Mus musculus: one gene and its partner. The protein of the gene in region 2 purifies or fractionates together with the protein of the main gene of each other region. This does not show direct contact. Links are inferred from orthologs where the notes say so. Each region holds a gene or a part of one and is shown on either strand. Other genes may lie near its edges. The genes, in order: Erh and Chtop.

Region 1 (4,506 bases), on a different chromosome or scaffold from region 2:
CTCACAACTCCCTTAACTAAGTCAGCCCCTTACCCTCTGGATCATTTCTCAAACTCCAAATATACCCGCTCCTGCATTTTTTCTTATTAACCTTTAGAACCCGTTTTCTGACTCCACTAGCCTCTAGCTCTCTTAACTCAATAAAAACTAAGACATGGAGTAGTTAAAGGAGAACAGGAAATACTATAATCACTGTATCAACCTAAGGTCTTTCCTGACTTGAGCACAACAGCGGAACCACATTTTATACAGGAGTTACCTCCCACATCAAGGTGTAAGATAAAGTAACAATATAAAATGTATATAGTGAACACCACACTAAAGTTATTTATGGAACTATTCGTCTAGATAACTTGCCTTAAGGGGCCAGCTCATACCCAAATAATTTATCTTTGAATGTACAAAATCTTTGATTGTACCAGAGGAGCAGGACTTCACTGAAAGCCTTCCTCTCTTGCTCACTGGGGAGCCGAGTCAGCTTCAGAGTTCTCACTATATTTGGGGACAGAAATGAATTCTTTGGGTTTGTCCTGAGCCTATAGGATGTTTTGTGGCACCTTTGGTCTCCACTCACTAGATCTCACTAACACCAACTCTCTTCAAAGAAGCAAAACCCAAAAATATCTTTAAATAAGTGAAGCAGACATCCTGACCAGCATAGTCTTATATAGTGTCTCTCGTGCATTTAAGAATGATTAATTAGCCGGGTAGTAGTGGTGCATGCCTTTAATCCCAGCACTTGGGAGGCAGAGGCAGGCGGATTTCTGAGTTTGAGGTTGGCCTGATCTACAGAGTGAGTTCCAGGACAGCCAGGACTATACAGAGAAACCCTGTCTCGAAAAACAAAACAAGATTAATTAATTAAACAAATGCTAGCATGATGCAACTCCACTGCAAGCCCAATTCTCAGCCAAATTATTCCCCTTATTTTCTTCACTTGCAACACTAGTTTCTGATTAAAAAACAAATTCTCATGTCAGGATGCCCAAACTATTTTGAGATAATCCAAAAATTTAATTATCAACAAACTGAACTGAGTTTCTAAGATTTAGGCTTTCTGGATAAAAACAGAAATAAAAGCACTTTAAATTTCTTACAGCAAGAGCATTATTATTTCTCCATCCCCAGCAAGATCTGTGTCTTTAATTAAGTTTGAGAAGACTTGAGAGAAAACTCTAAGTTGGTAACAAAAGAAACCTGTAGTCATGTGAACAGTGTTTTGTTTGTTATTAATAGCCAGAGAAAGCAGGATGTGTTGTGTAGGGGCTCATAAAAGGCCAGCTACTCAAATGGTACTTTTGTTGTTGAGAAAATTAGTCTCATGAAAGCCTATTTGCATTTTTGTAATGGCTCATCCTAGACAAGCTATTCATTCTTTGCCACATTTTTAAAAATTTTAGGCAAATTAAGGAATAACTTGAAATAATATTTGAAAACTATAAACACACCTGCTCCAAATATTTCCCTTTTGTTTACTTAAAAATAAGAGGGCATAAGTACTGGAGACATGGCTCAGTGGTTAAGCCCACGAGCTGCTCTTCCAAGGGACTGGTTTTCAATTCCCTGCACTCGCACGGTCGCTTACCATCACAGGTAATTCCAATCCTGGGGATCGGACGCCCTCTTCTGTCTGTCGCAGGCACTGCATGCAAGTGGCACACAAGACATGCAGGCAAATCACCACACACCGAAAAGGAAGATCCCCAAAAGCAAAACAACAACCAGAGTGTTGATGGCTCAGTGGTTAAGAGCACGTGCTACTCTTACAGAAGGCATGAGTTTGGTTCCTAGCACCCACATCCTCCGCTCACAACCGCCTGTTCTAACTCCAGACCCAGGGGATCTCATTCCCTCTTCTGGCCTCTGAGGGCTCCTGTACTCACGTGCAAGCACAGACACACAACTTAACAAATAAAACAAAAACCTTCCCTGCCGGATTTTGGGACCAGGACCCTGGAGTCTCTTTTCAGGCTCCACTCCCAGGAGAATATAAGAAAGAACAAGATCGAAGGCTGACAAAATTGGCAAAACAGGGCAACTAAGGATACTGAAAAAGGAAAAATACTTTCTTTTTTGAAGTTCGGGGGTTAGGGGGCAGGCTGAGGCAGCACACTGTAAAGCCAATCCGACCCCCTAAGGCCGACCTACGGAGAACCGTAAGGTGACGGGTGTGTCAGTTTCAGGAAACGTCTAACACGTTCCCCGGCCATTGTTCCTACAGTCGGCTAGTGCATCTGATGAGAAATGAACGGCACCCCACACCTCCCTCTTCCAGGCAGCGATCGGCAGGGAGGGCATCGTCTGCCCACCGCATACCTCGCCCCCCACCATCAGGCGGGAGGCGCGCAGCCGCAGGGAGGAGGATCAGGTCCGGGGCCTACGGGCAGGCCCCGCGGCTCAGCGCCGGGAAGGGGAAGGGTCCACCCGCGAGCCGGGGGGAAGGGGGCGGGGAGCAGCTCCCTCGCTCGCGCTAGAAGGGCAGGGGCGGGAAGGATGGGAAGATGTACCGAGCAGGGGTGGCCCTCTAAGTTGGGGACCCCGGCAACCGCTAAGGACTCACCATCGCGCCAAACGCTCTTGCTGCAGCCGCCGCTAACACCTCTGCTGCCGCACACGAGCTCAGCCGCAACGCCGCCAACAGCCAATCCCGCGAGAGCCGCCGCCGGAAGTCGTCGAAAGCGCGACGCAAAAGGAATCTTTCAGACCATAGAGAGACACACGTTTCTGGTTTCTAGAGTGGATACTGACGCTGTTTCAGCCATCTTGGTTAAGGGCGCCGGGATGGGTAAGAGACTCTTTCTCCGCTTTAGGAAGAAGAGTTCGTTTCGGGATTCTGCCTTCTGTACTCTAATTAACTGACAGGCGGCTAAAGTGATGGGGAATACAACAGCGACACCAGTCGTCTTTTTTTTAAGCCTTTCTAAAAAAATGGCGGCAATATAAGGACCTGGCCGATAGGTCGGTTGTAACCCGGAAGTGCCCTGCTAAAGAGGAGGCTGTGAGACAATCCGGAAGTGGGAGTAATGAAGAGGTGCCACTTGGCGGCCATGGCAGCTGTAGTATTGGCGACTCAGGGTCAGGGCCTGGCTGAGGGAAGTACCATGGGTAGCACCGGGTGTAGGGCAGAGACAGCATCGTGTCGACTTTGCTGTTGAATCCTCCGACCCAAGTGAGAGACTTGCAGGACATCTTGCCCGACTCTAGACTCGGAAGGTAGTTTGCTGGGACTGGTGGGCTGGTCCCTTCCCTGGGGGCGTATCACCTGCGGTGCCACCCCTAGGAACAGGTACAGCGTGCGAAGAAGACACTTGGCTTTACCCCTCTTTCCTACTGCTACCAGGGGCCTTGTCTAGGAGCGGGTCGTCGTGACACTCTCATTCCGACGATTGAGGTCTCTTTCAGCACAATTTCTCCATCTGTGACCGACCGGAATCTCAGTGGCTGGCAACCGAGTACCTAAGATTGCGCGAAGTTTTCTCTGGTGCTAGAGTCAGCAGAAGGAGCTTGCTTCTTAAGAGAGTGGCGTGCTTCGAGAACACCCCGGCTGGTGGCAAGGCTGAAAGAAGTGGGCAAATTCCCGTTTGCTTGGAAGACCACGCGTTTAAACAGCCTAAGCGCCTTTCGAAACTGCTGGAATCTTAAAGCCTGGTGGTAGAGGGTGACTACGGGAGGGCAGAATGGATGACTTTCTCTCCATTAGTCTGCTGTCTGTGGCAATGTTGGTGGGATGTTACGTGGCCGGAATCATTCCTTTGGCTGTTAATTTCTCAGAGGTAAGACGTTCTCCATTGTCTGCCAAGCGTTAGGATGATGCTAGACCTAGCTATATTTGCAAAGAAGCTGTTTCTCAGCTCTAAGGTCTCATTAAGGAAAAGATGTAACATTTCACAGTAGAAACAAAGCTTGTGTTCAACCGTATACATCTTAACCAAGAATGGTAGATAGATGATACACTGGAGAACCTGGAGTGTTCAGAATCCTCTGAAAATTATATACCCCCACGACCACCAAAAGTTGGGGCTCTGCATTTTTCAAGAGACAGGAACCACAGTTACATTTCTGATGATTCCTGGAGGTTTCAAGAAATCAAGATATCAGATAAAACCAAATGGAGACTTACTATTTCACTGAGGTGAAATCAGTATAACAATTTCTGAGAAAAATCATGAATGTTTTTGGAGAAAAGCTTAGGATGTCAGCACTACAATCAGTGTGAGAGAAAAAAGCTACAGTAGGTTGTTATTATCATTTCCTTTCAAAGAAGCCAAGGGCTGGAATGGATATTCTGAGATTATTTTCAAATCTCTTTGTTTAGAGATAAACTTTTTGCACGCCTTTAATCCCAGCTCTGGGGAGGCAGAGGCGATAGATCTCTTGAGTTTGAGGCCAAACCTAGTCTGCAATGCAGGATGCACTTTGGGTTATTTGTTAGGTTGTCATCCACTAAGCAGAGGTTATGGGGGGGGGAGAGAAAAGATATTCTCGTCTGTTCTTTAGATCATCAGA
Region 2 (4,298 bases):
GAAAGCATGAAATACACGCAGTAAGCAAATATGATGACAAGAAACAGAGATGCAGTTACAAAGACAAACAGAAATGCCGACACTTTTGGAGAGTGAAAGTTCATTCAAAGGACAAACAGGAGGAAGGATCAGAGCACCTTCAAAGTCCACTGAAATAACAGACTCATGAGTTATGGGAGTTTATTACATTCTAACATGTTACTTAGTAACACATGAATACAGGAAATTAATGTATCACATCTTAAAAGATGAACAGAGAAGCACATGTGCTTCTGAAGCAAACACAGGCACTAAATTAAATGCCTTGGGAGTTCTAGCAACAACATAATAAAATGGTGAAAGACACCAAATAAATGAAATTCTCAGAAACAAAAACTGCCTTTAAATACAAATAACCACTCTTTCTGACTCAGGACTTCTGAGAAAGTTAAATTAGTTAAGTCGCTTAAGAGCCTAAGAGGACATTATTCTATCATTCCTGTTATGATTAAGTTTAATAGAAGTAAACACACAGCTGATGAAAGATTTCAAAACAAAACAAACTAAAAAGCAGAATGGGAAGAAAGTGAAATGGAGCAAAGCAAGTGCCTCTTACAAGGCCCAAGAATGCCATTCAGGGGCCTTTGGACATAGTCTCGGCTTGCTACCTGCCTCTTACAGGCCAGACACAACACTGCTGGCCTCGGACTAGGCAGCAAGCCTCTTGCAGCCAGGATATACCATACCATCATGCTGCACCACCCCTGTATCAATGTTAGGAAAAAAAATTGAAGGGAGGGTGTGAGGAGTCTTTTAAAAAATATATCCCACCAGGTAAATATTTCAGATAGCTTAATATAAAAATCTACTGATAAGGGGTTTTGAAACAACTGCCCAATTTGTTTTGTACCACATTAGATGCAATTAAGAACAGAGGTCTGTAGCCTTCTGTCATTTAGCTTACAACTGGCTTTTTTTGTATTGGACCCCAGGGTCAATTTAAGTAATGTTTTCTTAGGAAGGAGCTGAAGTTGCTGTTGGCTGCCTCACCGCTCATTTAGAGACATCTTGGTGGTGCTTTTTAGCACAACTTTCGGCGCTGACTGTGCAGCCATCTTCAAATCCCGAGAATCTACAAAGGACAATATGCATGAGTCAATCAAAATAATGAAGCTTGCATTTTCACAAGAAGCAAGGCATAAATCTGTTAAAGGCCTATATTTTTAACTCTGAAGATGGTATCATGAGATCTTAAGTTTGCCAGGTGGTGGTGGTGGTGCACTTTTAGTCACAGCATTCCTGAAGCAGAGGTAGGTGGCTCCCTTTGAGTTCGAGGCTAGCCAGGTCTACATAGCAAGTTCCAGGACAGCCACGGCTACCTAAGAGAAACCCTGTGAGGTGGGGGCTTACGTCCATACAATAGTTATAAAAATTTCAAAGCTCCAGGATGGAGAACATCTGCCAAAGTCTCCAAAATAGCAGAATGAGATGTAGCCAAAGCCTAGGAGTTTGGCTTTCAATAGTTCTTCTCAGCCTGGACTGTATGTGACTTAGCTGAGGAATGTTTGAAAAAAAAAAAAAAAAGAAAAAGTCCCTCCCAAACTAAACTAAATTCTTGATGCCTGGATCCAGACCAATTAAAGTACAATCTGGCCATGAGGATGGGGTACAGCAACTGGGATTGGGGGTGCTACCCAGGTACATCTTACATGTCTATAGAAAGTTGAGGGTCATGGATCTAGAGAAATGGAGGAGCTGGGAATATAGCTCCTCAGTAGAGTGCTTGTTTAGCACTGATGAAGCCCTGGGAAGTTCAATTCCCAGCAGCAACAGGGGAGTGGTGTAACAGTCTGAGGCTGTAACGGGTTACATTGTCACACTGTGAGGACCGGACTCTCATACACCCAAAATAAAAAGAAAAGCCTAGTTTCAAAATCGATTCTCAACTCCAAATGCAGGTGGAGCTCTAGTTAGACATGGCAGGGGAAAGACAGAAGAGGTTTTCTAAATGGGTATTCAATCTGAGAGCTCTGTTAAGAGCACACCACAATATTTTAACTGTAGTGGCATATACTGGGGAGGGGCTGAGGCAAGGGGGTCACAAGCTCAAGGCGAGCCCGGGTGATTTGACAGACCCTGTTTCAAACTAAGATTATTATTATTTTTAAAGCTGGAGATGTTAACTCGGGGCGCTAGTTTAGCCAAAGTACGATTTTGGGTTCAACTTCGGTGCCGCAAAAAAAAAAAAAAAAAAAAAAAAAAGAATCAAAATCGAACACCCAGAGCCGCCGCTAATTCCTGTACTCCTCATTTGACCTCCACCTCGAAGCCTCTCAGGACTCCAACTTTGATCAGGCGACTATTTCCGTGGTTATCCCCATCAAACGCTATTCTGGGGCGAGGCTTTGGCTCCGATGGAGGACGCTTATCTAGGTAAGCAAGACACTGGATTTGAGGCCAAACCACTACGACCAGCACCACCAGCACCAGCACCTGCACCAGACACGCCAACCACAAGCAGCACCCGCACGGCTAGCGGCCCAGCTCGCTGGCCGCGGTTCCGGCTTAGCCTCCGCCTCCCGGCTCCGCCCCCTCCCCGGCCTCTGCGCACCTCAGCCCGGTCCACACCTGCCACCCACGCCACCGGGCCCCGGACCCCGCGCCCCTCCACCTCTGCCCTCTCCACAGAAACTCACCGAAGGAGATGGACGCCAGCGCTCCTCCCGGGGTTGCCACCACGGCTGCGGCGGGCGGCCCGGAGGCCGGCCTAACCTGAGCTGACGGCGGGCCGCTCGGGTTAACTAGCTGGGCGGTTGGCTTAGATGCTTAAACGGTAGGATGTGAGGCTTCCTCGTTGTGGGTTGAGTATCTAGCTGACCGATCCTCCCGCTCGTCAAGCCTGCCCTTTCCTGCCTTTCGTCTGGGCCCCCAGAGCCGGCGCCGCCAACTCCCGCTTGGTGTCCAAAACAAAATGGCCGCCGGGCCCACCAGTGCAGCGTGACCGGCTAAAATGGCGCCGACGGGCTTGCGTCAGTGCGCGCGCAACTAGGGGCGTGGCAACATGGTCCTTTGGCCTAGCGCAAGAATCGCAGCGAATCCCCACTGACTTTGGCAAAGATCCCTTAAGTTACGTGTAGTGCTCCGCCTTCGGGGGCGTGGCCAGTGGCCGTAATCGCTAAGTACCTCTAGACTACCTTCTGGACAAGTTTATGCCCCACTTTGGTGGGATTTTTGGCTTGCAAATAGCAGCTTAGATTGGCAACAGTGTTTGTATCCTTTTATTTCCCATTCCCAAGCTAAAGACAACTGTAAAAAGTCTTTATTAGGACCTTGAGACCTGGCTAATTTGCTCAGGCCCTCAAACCTATTTGTAGAGTTTCTGTTTCTTTTTGAGGCAGGCTTCCTTTGTGTAGACCAGACTGGCTTCGAACTCACAAAGATCCACCTCCTGACCCCCCCTAACCCCGCCCCTCCCAGTACTGGGATTTAAGACCCACACTGGACTCATCTACATCCTTTTATAGGGACTGCCTCTAGAAGATGTGGCTAGTTTTAGGGTGGGTCTTTTTACCTCAAGTAATCCAATAAAGCAAATCTGTATCCCCACTTATGTATCCCTAGTTCTTACATAATGTCTAGCAATGATGAGGCATCAATAAACACTGAATGAAGCTTGGGAAAAAGTTCTTCTAGTAGTTTTTTGGTTTTGTTTTCTGGTTTTGTTTTTTTGTTGTTGTTTTTTTTTTTTTTTTTTTTTCCGAGACAGGGTTTCTCTGTGTAGCCTTGGATGTCCTGGAACTCACTCTGTTGACCAGGCTGGCCTTGAACTCAGAAATCTGCCTGCCTCTGCCTCCCGAGTGCTGGGATTAAAGGCGTGTGTCACCACTGCCTCTGGTAGTTTTTTTGAGACAGAGTCTCTATAATGTAGTTCTGGCTGTTCTAGAATTCTCTATACAGACCAGGCTGGGCTTGGACTCACAGAGATCCTCCTGCCTTTTACGTCCCAGGTGCTGAGCTGGTGTTAACTATGGTACGTGCCACCATTTCTAGCTTTCTTCAGATTTTTTAAAAAAGATTTATTTATTTATTATATGTAAGTACACTGTAGATGTCTTCAGACACACTAGAAGAGGGCACCAGATCTCGTTACGGATGGTTGTGAGCCACCATGTGGTTGCTGGGATTTGAACTCCGGACCTTTGGAAGAGCAGTCAGGTACTCTTACCCACTCAGCCATCTCACCAGCCCCACATTTTTTGATGGCTTGTTTATTTCTGTTTCTGGCTATGTAGTATGGGCTGGCTTGGAACTCAAAATCT

Evidence for each region.
Region 1: the proteins of Chtop (region 2) and Erh purify together in Homo sapiens (affinity purification with mass spectrometry; 3 studies listed by BioGRID and IntAct, with this or other methods). This does not show direct contact. The link is inferred for Mus musculus from reciprocal best matches to the Homo sapiens genes CHTOP and ERH.

What each region holds. Positions count from the first base shown.
Region 1 is NC_000078.6:80,641,204-80,645,709, forward strand, and holds the start of Erh (enhancer of rudimentary homolog), read right to left. Parts: upstream 2,909-4,506; 5' UTR 2,564-2,908; coding exon 2,561-2,563; intron 2,463-2,560; exon of another isoform or gene 2,332-2,462; coding exon of another isoform or gene 2,263-2,331; intron 1,643-2,262; coding exon of another isoform or gene 1,586-1,642; intron 1-1,585. Other genes in the region: Slc39a9 (zinc transporter ZIP9), read left to right, coding at 3,678-3,773. UniProt on the Homo sapiens protein: May have a role in the cell cycle.
Region 2 is NC_000069.6:90,506,516-90,510,813, forward strand, and holds the start of Chtop (chromatin target of PRMT1 protein), read right to left. Parts: upstream 2,984-4,298; 5' UTR 2,676-2,983; intron 1,112-2,675; 5' UTR 1,095-1,111; coding exon 1,030-1,094; exon of another isoform or gene 1-1,029. UniProt on the Homo sapiens protein: Plays an important role in the ligand-dependent activation of estrogen receptor target genes. May play a role in the silencing of fetal globin genes.